Linked DNA regions of Caenorhabditis elegans. The protein of the gene in region 1 interacts with the protein of each later gene in a pairwise test. Each region holds a gene or a part of one and is shown in the gene's direction. Other genes may lie near its edges.

Evidence for each region.
Region 2: the proteins of mgl-1 (region 1) and ptp-1 interact in a two-hybrid assay, tested with the Caenorhabditis elegans proteins (one study listed by BioGRID).
Region 3: the proteins of mgl-1 (region 1) and nrfl-1 interact in a two-hybrid assay, tested with the Caenorhabditis elegans proteins (one study listed by BioGRID).

Annotation. Positions count from the first base shown.
Region 1 is NC_003284.9:9,973,283-9,977,952, reverse strand, and holds the start of mgl-1 (G-protein coupled receptors family 3 profile domain-containing protein), read left to right. Parts: upstream 1-1,646; coding exon 1,647-1,664; intron 1,665-1,724; exon of another isoform or gene 1,725-2,161; coding exon of another isoform or gene 2,162-2,170; intron 2,171-3,947; coding exon 3,948-4,031; intron 4,032-4,118; coding exon 4,119-4,154; intron 4,155-4,670. UniProt on the Caenorhabditis elegans protein: G-protein coupled receptor for glutamate. Ligand binding causes a conformation change that triggers signaling via guanine nucleotide-binding proteins (G proteins) and modulates the activity of down-stream effectors.
Region 2 is NC_003281.10:3,589,169-3,593,735, forward strand, and holds the start of ptp-1 (Tyrosine-protein phosphatase 1), read left to right. Parts: upstream 1-1,555; 5' UTR 1,556-1,601; coding exon 1,602-1,739; intron 1,740-2,455; coding exon 2,456-2,572; intron 2,573-2,616; coding exon 2,617-2,833; intron 2,834-3,228; coding exon 3,229-3,355; intron 3,356-3,435; coding exon 3,436-3,682; intron 3,683-3,996; coding exon 3,997-4,223; intron 4,224-4,567.
Region 3 is NC_003282.8:9,119,771-9,124,383, forward strand, and holds the start of nrfl-1 (Na(+)/H(+) exchange regulatory cofactor-like protein nrfl-1), read left to right. Parts: upstream 1-1,601; 5' UTR 1,602-1,710; coding exon 1,711-2,490; intron 2,491-3,507; exon of another isoform or gene 3,508-3,908; intron 3,909-4,034; exon of another isoform or gene 4,035-4,106; intron 4,107-4,613. UniProt on the Caenorhabditis elegans protein: Scaffold protein that connects plasma membrane proteins with members of the ezrin/moesin/radixin family and thereby helps to link them to the actin cytoskeleton and to regulate their surface expression.

The DNA of each region.
Region 1 (4,670 bases):
GAAAATTAGCCGCATTTCCTAAGGATTTTCTCCTTGTTTTTGTCTGCCTGTTCTTCCTTCTCATTTTGTCTCGTATTCTTTTCCTTCTGTGTGTGTTTTTCTTTTGCTACGTCTCCAACATATATTATGTTACCTTGTTCCCTCTACTTACTTAATAGCTTCAGAACTCGCATTAATTTCATTTTTAATTCATTGAGAAATTTAAAACCCCAGTTGCAAAAAAGGAGGCCGCAAGCTCTTTTCCGCAACATTATGGACTCTGAATGGACATCGCTTGACTCTCCTTTTTGTTCGGAAATTTGATTCTTCAGCATAAGTTTTGCTTGTAAAATCCTCCACTAGAAGGCGTCTTCAATGACAGAGTTGAAACGACATCATAGTTTGACCTATGCTTTATTGAACTTTTATTTTCCTATTTAAAAATTTTATAAACTTTTTTTTTGTTTTTGTTCACAGCAATTGCGAAGGTTTTTAGAAATCTAAAAAAATGAATCGTCTAACGGACGATTCATTTTTTCCCGCAAATTAGGCTGAAAACTGTATGTGAAATAATTTTTTTTTTTCACAAGTTTATGGTAATTTTTTACAGCATCGTAGTTACGTTTATACATTTAGAACTGATTCCCAATCAAAAAATTAACATTAATCATACGGAGGTCGCAAGTCAAGAACCTTCATCTTCGAGGAATATCAGAAACTCATACATCTTCTAGATATAATTGTAAAATTTGGTTCAGTAAAAAGAATTTTGCAAATTGTAGTTTATTTATTTTCAGATTTTTTAAAGACACAGTCGGTTTAATAAAAGTGAAAACAGTAATCTGATTTGAAAATCCAAACCATATTGAAATGTTTTAAATAATTCAGCAGATTATTGTTCACAATACGCATTAGAATAAAACTGAATTCGACGAATATTCAAAATTTCCGGATGCCTAGAGATCAAAAAAAAATTGAGGTGCCGACAAAAGCTGTACCAATCGTTGTCTGTTGTTCACTCTCACCATCATCACTTGTTTTCTTCGTCTTCCAACTTTAAAATTCAGTACTAGATAGAAGTGCCGTTCTCCTCATCCATTCCGTTTTTTCCAGCTCAGTTCTTTTCTGCTTGCTACTCATCGCATTCATCGTATCACCACTACCACACCTCAGTAGAATTTCGCAAAAAAAATGACGAGTTATAAATCTAAGATCTCATTCTTTTCTATTCCCACTTATTTCTATTCTGTGGCCAGCTCTGGAGTCCACATTTTAATGAGTTATCTTCCGCGTCAGAAGGGCAGATTCCGGCTGTCTTTTTGGTTCTTGGTCGCTTCATTAATTCTTCCTTATGCATATTTTTGAGTTAGTGGTTTTTTTGCAACTGACAACACTTTAGAATTTTGTATTTGATGCACTGGTAACATTCATAGAGATTAAGACGTGATTTATGTATCAGAATTAAGATGACTCGTTTAAAACAATTCTGAACAATTAGAAACAGATTGATAACTTTATCACTTTATTGATCGTACTGATTTTAGCTACCGTTTATATGTAATTTTTTTTTTGATTTTGCAGAACTTGGAGACCTTCAATATTGATATCTATCTGTTATCAGAAATTCTTATGGAGCAGTATTCACTTCTTTAACAAAAATCACATTCATGAGGCAAACATTTCGGGTAAGGTATGTTTTTATTTTCCAACACATGCAAATCTTGCTTCTAGAAAGAATAAAAGTGCGCCCTTATTGAGAATTATGGAAATTTTTGTCGCGTGCGACCGGCTTCTGATGTAGCGTTTGAGGAGAGGAGCAGATGAAGGCAGGTCCTTCCGGCGCCGCCCGGATTTGGATTCCTTCTTTGCTGCTTACTCCTACTGCTCCGAAAATTGGCTAGAGGTCGACGAAATGGGTGGAGACCGGCGGTCCCCTTCAGAAAACGACAGACATGCAAACGACACATATGAATGTATATAGGGAACAAGAGTTTCCATACTCATAGTGCTCATTAGAATAGCACGGATCGTGTTTCGCCTCTCGCCTTGTTAACCGAATCTGCCCCCGTGTGCCCCGGCTGCTTGTGTTGTGTCACACAAGACTAACGCCCTCTTATCCTTTCCATTCTCTTAAAATCCATTTCTAGAGTTGAAAACTTTATTTTTATTCAATACTCAAATCATGGTACCGGTAAGCGAAAGTTTATTTTAATAAATAAATGGGGAAAGCCCATCACAATTGGGCTGGTAATGGCGACAATTATTAACTGAAAAATATAGACGTCGTCCCAGACTCATGACATAAAGACTATTATTAGTTAACTCACTCACTTTCATTGAAACTTATAATGAGCCCTCGAAAACCGTTCCATTCTCTCATCTCACAAATATTGCCCTAAATTTCAAACTTTCAAAAATGTTAGACTGTTGACCTCGAGTAAATTTCAAACTTATACTAACAACATATATAATTGGAAGTTACTGTTAGGTAAAGTGTCACTACTAAATGAAAAATTGAAACGTAATGTAAAATGAAACACATTGAAAAAAGAAATGATGAAAACCTCAGAATTCTAATCGAAAATAGTAAATCTGCGCTGAGCAAAAAAAAAATATGACTTTTAAAAATACAAATAATTGTCCGTGGAGTGCATTTTCAAAATTGTTGCCAATTAAACCAATATCAAAACTGTTACAAAAACTATTATTTTTGAGGAAGAAAAATGAAGTAAATACATACACTTTTAAAAAGTTTTTTGATTCCTTTAGGGATTGTACAATTCTTCACTTTCAAATAATATGTTCGTTTTTTCTTACTTTACACAATTACAACCGTTACGTGATAACGCCATGTGAATAAAACACTTTCCAAAATTATGAACTGCCAAATTTGAAAAATGTATACACAAAACTGGGTGTTTTTGAACGTTTTGGTTTCTTTTTTTTTGTGATAATTAAATTCGGAGATCAATTATTCTTGATTCATGCTCTGCTCCCAACTCCAAAGTATTTTTTTTTGTTGAATAAGTACAAGAAGCCAAGTAGGTGTCAGCAACTTGTATAGGGAGATTATTTTTTTATGATCCCATCCTTTTTTGAGATAACTTACCTACCGATTAGAACATTCTTTACAATAACTTTGTAAAAAGTCATTTATTGCCTTTTATTTTGTGCACAAATCCAAATCCTTTACAAATACACCAGACAACTTTTTCCTCCCACCTAATTTTATAAGACAGTTTTTGTTATGTAATGTTTCTTTTTTTTCCCATTTTCTCCCATTATTGGTTTCCTCCCGTTAAGAATCTCGAATTTCTACGCACACGTCGCCGCCGCAAAAATACGTAATAGGGGTGGCGGTGGCATAGAATCTTCCTTTCATTTTTCGTTTCTTCAACTTTTTTCCTACACATCGGCGGCTCATTGTTAAATCCATTCTTTTGAGAGGGAGAAGATGCTTGAATCCAAATCGAAAAAACACATTATGGCCCATTAGTATGTACATGGATGATAGGAAAATGAGTTCCGAAATTTTTTGGAACAAAAACTATAAGAAAAAAATCGCGAAATAATGGACAAAAAATGGAGTCTTGAGCAACGCTGGTTGCATCTGCTCAACCAACAGTTCCTTGATTGTCTTAACCATTTGTTTAATCACTACCGCCGGTTGTTTTAAGACTATTGTACATCTGAGACTCTTTTATATACCAAAAATTGTAACAATTGTAGAAATACAAAAAAAAACCTACGGTAGTACTGAAATTTATTTGTATTTTCCGCACTACCCATTAACCATTTCGATTTAAATAAATTATCGTTTTACATCGATTAATTCGCAATCACGCCAAAATCCTTGTGGGTTTTCATGACAGGAAAAATGAAAAATAGTCATAGTGTGGATAGCGCGTGGGAAACAAAGACAACTTCATTTTGTTTCCGTTCTTTTTTCTAGCTTGTCAACTTTTCAGAAACCCCCTTCAATAATTCGACACATGTTCTCGGTGCTTGCACTTGCTATACAGATACTTGCAAATGTCAATGTGGTTGCACAGGTAACTTCAATTTTTTGCATAGATTTTAAATTTCATTTTATTTTACAAACTTTACAACAAAAAAAAACAAAAAAAGAGATCTTTCAGACAACGGAAGCCGTCGACCTCGCTCCACCTCCAAAAGTTAGTTCTTTTATGGTTATTTGATACTTTGTGGGCTCATTAGTCATGTGAATATGAACGTTTCTCGACTTCCAAAATTTTCTTCAAAAGATGTTTGAACTGCAAAAGTATTTATACTAAATTGAGGACTTCCGGGGTTGAGAGTATTGAAAATGTCACTTGCATTTACGCTTGGGTTCAAAGTTTTTTTTGACAAAATTTTGCCCTTTGTAGATGTTTGCAGCTGTTTTAAATACTTCTCAAAGAAAACAACTACATAAAGTTAACATTTTTCAAATTAACATTTTATCAAGAGTTATTATGATGAGCTGGGGATTAGTTTTAATTTATCCTATACTCAATAAGCTTAGAAGTTGTGTTCTATGATGTTTTGGAAATCATAGTCAAATAATGCACCGAGGCTGAATTATTCAAAGAAATCAAACTTATGTGTAGTGTTTTCGCAGATCTCACGTTAATTTTAGAAACATCATTGTATGATTGTAAAATCGTTGTAAAATGAACAAACTGACCGTA
Region 2 (4,567 bases), on another chromosome or scaffold:
CTTTCTACAAATACCATAACCGTACTCTTATTATACTCATCTTCAACTTTTTCTCCGTTTCCCGTGCCACGTCATCAATCAAAACTTCTCGGTGTGTATGTCACATATCCTAAGAGGGCCTAATAATTGCCTCCGATTCCATCCAATTTTTGGCGGCAGCGGAGTCCAGGTCCACTTTCATTCTATTTTCGCCCTCTCCTAAAGCACACAATTCGTTTTCTAACGTTTTTTTTTTCCTTTTTTCCTTCTTCTATTGGGTCCACTCCACTTCATAATGTGTTGTTGCTGGGGTGGAAGGAAGGAAGAAGAAGCTGTCCCAGTTTTCTCATTTATTCTATTTTTCCTTCATTCCATCTGGCTCCTTATCTCTTTGGGGTTCTCAAAATTAAAATTTGGCTTTGTTTCGTTCCTTCCCAAAGAATTTTCGCGCGTTATTTATTGAATTTCCTTGGGGGCTCCGCGAGCACTTTCGCCTCATTAGATGGAAAAAGTAATGTGTGGCAGGGTGATGTAGTCATGGATTTAGCACTTGGAGATTTGAATTTGGTGCGGTATTTTTAGAAAACTTTTTTCAAAAAGTTTTTTTGAAGTTTTTAATAGAAAAATATCAAGCTTTGCAACGTTTTTTCACCAATTTAGAGCATTTTTTCTTTCCTGGAGAAAATTGTTTCTCATTGAAATAAACAAATTTTGATAAAGCTTAGAATTTGCTCTTTGATTTTGGAAAAAAATTATTTTTTTTCGATTTTTTGGAATGTGTTCTTCTGTTTCAATAGTTCGAGTTTCGGCTAATTTTTAAATTTAAAAAAAAACACTCGAAATTAACTTTCAATTTTAAAAATTCCATATTAAAAAAAAACAATTTTTAGTAGAAATTCGTAATTTCAATTAGCTTTTTTTTTCCTAATTTCGCTGCAGCGCATTTTCTCAGTAGTATTTTTTGAATATTTTGTGCTGGAGTTTAAAGGATTTCATTTTCTAATAATTAGCCATTTGAAAAACATATTATTGACGAAATTGATAAATAAAAAAAAATATTTAAAAAAACTAAAACGCGAAGACATCTGCGGGCTTTTTTATTGGTTCTAAAATTTAATTTCTCCCAAAATTTTTTACAGACAGGGAACTATTTAAAAATAGATCTAATCCGACCAAAAATTAAAAAAAATCAATAAAACACCCCGCCCATATAATGGCTCTTAACTGCATTAGCCTCTCCCTAAACTCTCAGAATTTGAGTCCATCCGTCCACTACTACTAGTCCTTCCTATTCTTCTTATGTTGCACTTATGTTCCAAAATCTTCAATTTCTTGCTACATTTATCCCTTTCTTTGACCACTCTCTCTCATCTGTTTTTCATTTCCCTATTCCTATTTTTTGAGGCTTTTCCTCCTCCCGGCTAAACAAAAAAAACTATAAATTGAGCAGCAAATTGGTTTTGTCTCTCGCTCACTCAGCTGACCTCGTCGAACATCTCTTCGAAAGTTTTTGTTTTTGTTTTCCTCCGCTTCCTATCTCTCTCTTTGCCTGTCTCTTCACTCATTTTTAACTATTTCAGACGGCTTCTGTTCCTTTTTGCACAATAATGACATAAGCAGCTATGCGTCTCGGATCGAATAGTTACGATGTACAGAGGACGGAGGCAATTGGTCAAACGCCTGTCAAGACACCGCCTCCAAATCAGATCCGATGTACAGTTACCTTCCTTGATAGCACTTCTTATCATTTTGAAATTGAGGTGAGAGGTTTTTTTAATGTAATTATTATTTTTGAAAGCTTGGCTTTATGAGAAAATTTGACGTACTTGTACGGAAAATTTGTATTTTTTTCAGCTATAAAAGAAATCTAGGAGATGATTCAAAAAGCCTTTGACTGACAAATTATATTGTTTATGATTTGGAGAATTTTTCGTAAATTTTCCAAAAATTTGTAGAACATTTTTATTTGGAAAAATTAAAATTTGAATTTCGCGCCAATATTTTTGAAAAATCAAAATGGGGCTTCTTCATTGCGCTCACTTCTGTTGAGGCTGAGCAAGCTGTATATTATAAATTTGAAAGTTTTAAAACTTTTTTTAGAAACTCAAAGTTTTCCGCATATTGTTAATTGATAATTTTTCATGGAATTTTTTTGAAAAGAAAATATCAATTTTGCAAAAAAAATAGTTGTTAATCGTATAAATTTCCACATTTTCAACTAAAATATCTTTTAATTGACTTCATTTTTGTATTTTTGTATTGAATCAAAATATATTCCAATTTGAAATATTCAAGATGGTATTTACTTGGCATCAACAACTTTCAATTAGCCGGTTGTTTTCGATTTCAGTTAAGAAAAAAGTGCAGAAGAAGTGCATTAAATTCTTATATGATTCACCAGGTCTACTGTGCCTACCTACATTCACGTAGGCAGGTAGGTAGGCAGGCCGCAGGAAACAAGTTACTCAATTTTCAGAAAAACTCCCTGGGAATCGTACTTTTAGAAAAAGTATTCAACTATTTGGAGATTATCGAAAAAGATTATTTTGGCCTCGTCTTCATTGCAGTCGATAATTCTAGTGCTCAGCAGAAGGTTTTTTCAACTTTCCAAGGCTTTTCCTACAATAATAATTTCAGAAATGGCTGGATCCGTCGAAAAACTTGCGAAAACAAATGATTTGCCCACCGTATCATTTGTTCTTCCGTGTCAAATTCTACGTACGGGACCCGAATCGTCTACGAGACGAGTTTACGAGGTTCCAATTCTATCAACAAGTTAGGCAGAATTTGGAAGAAGGAAGGCTGCCGTGTAATGAAGGATCACTTGCGTTGTTGGCTAGTTATGTGGTACAAGGTTAGTGAGAAGGTGTGCCTGCCTGCCTACGCCTACCTACGATCCCTTTGTAGGCATGTGCGTAGGCATTATTGTGCCTTCTATAGACTATAGTTGCGCATATGATCTGATGTTTTTGGTTTGTAATTGCAAATTTTGTATACACCATATTTGACGAGCAAATTTCAAATGTTTAATGCATCACAATTGACGCGCAAGTTTCATATGATGCATTTGGTCCGTAATTTCAGTATTCGAATGCACCATGTTTGATGAGAAAATGTTCAAATTTCAAAGATTCTGCTCTGCTCAGTGTCATGGTTCTAATGCATCAGATGTGACGCGCAATTTTTTTTTGTTCACAGTACCATATTCCACGCAAAATCGAAATTTGATAATAAAACTGATTTTTACAGCGGAAGTCGGAGACTTTGAGGAGAAAACTCATGGAATGTCCCGGACGTGTCTGTGCTACAAAATTCAATTTGCTACTCTTCCAGATGATTTTTCGGATCGCGTCGCAGAACTTCATCAGCTTCATATGTAGGTTTTTTAGGATTTTATGGAAGGCAGGCAAATCTGTATACCTACATCAAATGCCTTTTATCCTGATTTTTTTTCAGCGGTCAAACCCCTGACGTAGCAGAGCAGAACTTTCTTGACCACGCGCGGCGTCTCGAAATGTACGGAATGGATGTTTATGACGGAGTGGACGCAAATCATCTTCCGATCGAAATTGGAGTAGGAGCAGTTGGAATTAAAGTATTTCACGAGGGAATCAAGATGAATGAGTACGCGTGGGTACGAATAAGAAAACTTAGCTTCAAGAAAAAACAATTTCAAGTTTTGGTGGCTAATGAGGATGGAGTGGTGAGTTTTTGGCTATGGAATCTGTGAAAAAATTCGCCTAAAAAACTAAAAGTATATAGCACAATTTATTCCAATTTTGAAAATTAGGCAATAGGCAGGCACGTAGGCATAATTTTAAGTTTGTGCAAAAAAGTATGACGTATTGGTGCGTTATTTGCCTTGTTTTCAATTAGAACCTTGATGCCTCATATTACACACAAAAAAAAACAATTAGATTCGGAGAGACTTTATGAAAAAAAATTTCTTTTTTTTAAATTATGGCTGAACTTTGACGTACAAATTTCTAATATTCGGTTACAAAATCCTAATTTCAGAGCGAAACAATCATGATCTTCAACATCATGTCCGCGAAAATCTGCAAACTTCTCTGGAAATGCTGCATCGAGCAGCACACGTTCTTCCGGCTGAAAACTCCTCCAAAAACGCCGCAAAGGAAGGTTTTCAACTTTGGATCGAAATTCCGATATAGTGGACGAACCGAATATCAGACACTTGAGGAGAATGAGCATCGGAAGTCAGCTGGACATCGGAATTTTCATAGGTGAGAATTTATCTTTGAAAATTGATTTAGAAATTAAAATTTTGAAAAAGCCACCCCATAGCTGGTCGTGGAACAGTTTTCATGGCAAGGTCACTCCCCCCCCCCCCTTTACAGTAACCCTGACACTGCTCAAAATTCAAAGTTTTGTCTATTTTGATCTAATTATAGTTTGCTGTATATCCAGTTGTCCCTTTTTGTTTTCGTTTTTGAGAAAACAAATTATGATCCCTATAAAAAATTGGGCCCATGACCACGTTATTCACATATTTTTCTAGAAATGAGCCTTGAAAATTCCGATATTCTCAATGCAGGCGATAGGTTAATTTATTTTTAAAAAGTATAAA
Region 3 (4,613 bases), on another chromosome or scaffold:
GTGACCGAATCTTTGCTGTCAATGGTCACTCGATTATTGGAGAAAATCACAAGAAGGTGGTTGAGCGCATAAAAGCAAATCCAAATCGATGTGAAATGCTTGTGATCTCTGAAGAAGGAGCTAAGTGGTACAATGAAAATAATGTTCAAATCACATTGGACCTTCCAAATATCGAACGAGTTTCTCCAATGGTTAGTCAAAATGTAGATTTTATCTTTACAAAATTAAAAAAAACAATTTTGTGTGACTTTTCTCATTCTCCTAACTTTATTTTAAATTCTAAAATTTTTAACATGTAAGATAAAAAAGTCTTCATTGTCGTGAAGAATGCAATATTCGTTTTTGACAGTAAAATTAGAAACATTTTCCATTTGTCTTATTTCCCTTTGTTGCGCCTAAAATCCCTTATGTTACCAATTGTCAGAGGAACTCCTGTCATCCGTCCAACAATTCTCCCCCGCCAAGTTCGTGGTACGCACCCACGTCATATTCACAGGTCAGTCTTTTTGCCTTTTCACATAATTTTCTCCTTTCTCCACTTTGTTTATTCCTCATTGTTATTTTGTAATTTTCAAACAGTATCGAATATCAAATAGTATAGCTGTAGTTGCTCATTGAGCATCATTTGTTTATTTGACACCTCTAGTTGCACTTGATCAACCGAACTTCGTATATCTACTGAGTCACACTGAACCATTTTTATGCGTCATTTTCATATGTTCTCACACTAAAAAAGGATTGACAAATATTTCGAGGTAGATAGACAGGGAGTCGATAGACAAGAAATGACGTCATTTTAGATGAAAGTTATAGGAACAATGAAAATTAAAAATTGGTAATTGAACCTGGGGAAATTGGAATTAACATTATTAATGGCTATGCAATTTTAGAACTGAAATTTTTAAAAAGTTATACAATATCCGATCTCAAATGAAGAAATGGAAATAAAAATTCTTGCAAAAAAATTGAATAATTTTTTTCTGTTTCATAAATAGTTAAAAGACTTATTCATAAATTTCAAAAATTCGGGAATTGCCTTTTCCGCACAAAAAATGTTTCCTCATTAAGGAAAACCCGTGGTTGGTTTGGAGACTATCTTGAAATTGTAATGCACATATTCTGTCATTCGATGATGCTTTATATAGTTTAGGCGATTGAAATCTGATTAAAACTTTTCTTTAGAACTCCATAAAAATATTTGATTTATTGCAAAAGTTTTGTAAACTTTTCTAAGTTCCTTGTAATATCTAAGTATTGCTAAGACATCATTTCTAGTCATCCACTTGTACTTTCTCTCCTCCAATTTTTGATTTACAATCTGATTCTCCATGCACTCCAAGACGTTCTCAACCATTATTCTTCAAACGGAACAACTTTTCGATGATTCTCGAATCGATGAAGAAACGGACGACACAATAGCGTTGGTTTTGTGTGTGTGTGCCTGTTTTGTATGTTAATATTCAATAAAAATATGAAGAAGATGGAAAAAGACGGGGCAAAGAATTTATGGGCCAAACCATACATATTCTATGCATTGAGGCACGAAGAGGGACAAAAAAGTTATATATCTTGACAAACAAAGGAATACCAAAAAGGCACTTTTGTTTGATTCACATTCCTTGGCTCTTCGGCACATCACTACAGTATTCTCAACTCTTATTCTCAGCTAAGAAATTTCAATTCTAAATCTGCATATTGCCTTCTTCAAACATGGATCGCAATCCATCTGAACCAGAAAGAATAGATTGGAAAAACCCAATCACGTGGATTTCGTATCTCTACACCTCTTTCGTGTACTATTTGTGGTTGATCTCCTCGCATCTACCACATCTCCCACAACCACAACGGATTACCGATGACAAATCAACGGAGCAGATCACCAGAGACGCAGGTATTCCGCGCACTGAGATAGTAACACGAGGAGATGCTACGCAGACAGTTAGACAAGTAGCGGGTCTAGGGGACCCAGCGCCAAAGGATTCATCATTATTGCCTCCCTCTTCGTCGTTCGTCTATTGCAACAACTGTCTAACACCTCATTCGTCTCAGAGGACTTGTTCTCCAGCCTACGTCTCTACTCTCTCAAGACAAAAGTCTTTGACGTTGCTAAAGAAATTGAAGAAACCCTCATCATCTGCTTCTTCCACCACTACCACCACATCATCGACTGTATCTTTCCGTGCACCTTCACGTGCATCATCAACGATCTCCGACGCTTCTACCATCCGCCCATCTGAACTCATTGCTATCGTTCCATCTGGTAGCCACGTGTTGCTGCGAGTTCCGAAACTTGATTGGAAAACTGAATCAATTCGAATCAAAAGAACTAGAATGAGTGATTGGATGGATGCGGAGCAACGGGATGTGATGAGACAATTTGATGAAGTTATAAGATCAGAAGAAGAAGACGAGAGGACCTCACGAAAAAGGAACGGAATCTTCAAAGATGGATCTGTAAGGAGTATTGAATCATTGGAATCTAGGAGTCGGGTGAGCACACGTTGTGATTTTGAAATATCGACTCAAAAATAAAACTTCTTTCTAACAATTATAAATTTAAAAGTTAGAGAATTATCTATTAGTATTGCACCCCCTTACTGTAGGCAGCTCATAACTGATTTTTCATTGATTTTATTATAATTTGACAACTTTCTACTTATAATCTATTTTACTATAATTTTTTAGTTAATAATTTTGTTGATGTCAGCAACTGTCTTTAAAATGAACCGATAGCTCCAAAGAAACGATGGAAAATTATATTTTACGGACCAAAGTTGATCCAAATTTTTTGCTGACAATTGTTCCTGTTTATTCAAAATTTAAAAATTTAAATTACACATTTTTTGGTTTGGGCTATAATTCATCATAAAACCATACTTCTTTAAAACGTGAAATCTCAACTTGTTTTACAGCATTTCAGATAAAATGCACACCGTAGAATTAATTGAAATGGTATTTCAACTGGTTTCTTTTCTTTGTTTTTCATCTTTCCCATACTGGTACGCGTGCCTATCCTTACCCAAATTCTTCAAAAACAATTTGATAAGGATTTCAGTATTTTTTCTTTAAATTGATTAGAGACCAACTTCGCCAAACTATCAATTGGGTACTATGTTTTATAAACTATTCCAACATTTGTTGAGGTATTCGTCATCCTCTTCAACTTTTTTCTTCAATATTTCCATTTTCTCCAAAAAGAATTTCATTTTCATATAAATACGAGTATCATTTCCTCTTCTTCATATTTCTGACTCATCTTTCCTCCATCTTCTCTTGCATACATTTCCAAAAATTTTGCCAACTTGCCAAGTAAACCGCAAACATACGAGAAAACTGTTAAAACTGTGTCTGCACTCTACGCACTCTCTCATTCAGCCTCTTGAAGCTTATGTATGTTTTGTTAAATGTGTGTTGTGGCATTGGCAAGAAAGGAGAGAGAAGGTAGATCATTTTTTATTGAGAAGAAAATGACAATGAAGAAGACAAGTAATAAAAAAATATGTTTAGTGCGAGAGAAACAGAACAAAATGATGATTTATGATCAAAATTGAGACATTAGAAAGTTGGAAGAGGAACTGTAAATTAAATGAGAAAATGGGATACAGAGATATGATAGCAGATAGATTTATGAGGTATTGATACGGAAAATAACATAAATATTGGAAGACTGGCGGACTGGAAATTTGCACAGTTCAATGTTAGGAAGATTGAAATGAGTGTAGAAAAACAACTCAAAGAGGAGTGTAAATTAATCAATAAATAGGTTATTATTTTTGACAATTAACACTTCAATAAATTGTGACATAATTAAAAATATGATGAAACAGAAATAGTTTTGGAAGACTAACGAGTTACCAGCATTCCAGTGTTTAACAGTATATTACAACTCGATGAAACATTCGAAAATTCTAAAATGGAAAATCGATTAAAATTTTTTACTCCTTTAAGAAATCTTGTTCGTAAGCCATATTCTCAGAGAGAACCAAATTCAAAAAAGTTGTCTGACTACAGTAATCCGCAACAATTCCACTTACCTATCATTCGTTACAAATCTTCCTCTTCGTTTCTTTGTCCTTTAATAAATGACCTTCATTTGAATATATCTAATTGGTCCTCCATTAGACACCTTCTTCCAATTGTTTTTTATCCTCCACCTGCCATGTCTTTATTTCAATCTGTCTGTGTCTCGTGCTCTCTCTCTCATTCAATAGAAAGATAGTTAACGAAGCATGACGCATTGGAATATCTTGCTTCACTAAAAGATTGCAACATTCCAATTCTATTAATTTTTACAAAAAACCAACAATCTTCTCCCATTCTTGTCATTTGTCATGTTTAGACACTTTCTCAAGTATTTTACTAATTTTCTTCAAAAAGTACACATTCATCAAACGTTGTATGTTCAATATTCTTTTCCTTCAAACAAACTTTGAATCTCATAAAATGTTTTGTGGTTTCGGAACATGTTAGAAATACAAATAACTTGTCGGAAAACTTTCACAAAACTTGAATTTTATTTCTTGGCATTTCCCAACATTGAAACGCATCTTGTAATCCGATATTTTTGGGACTTGTTTTTTATATTCACTTTTATTCGAAAGAATATCAGAAAT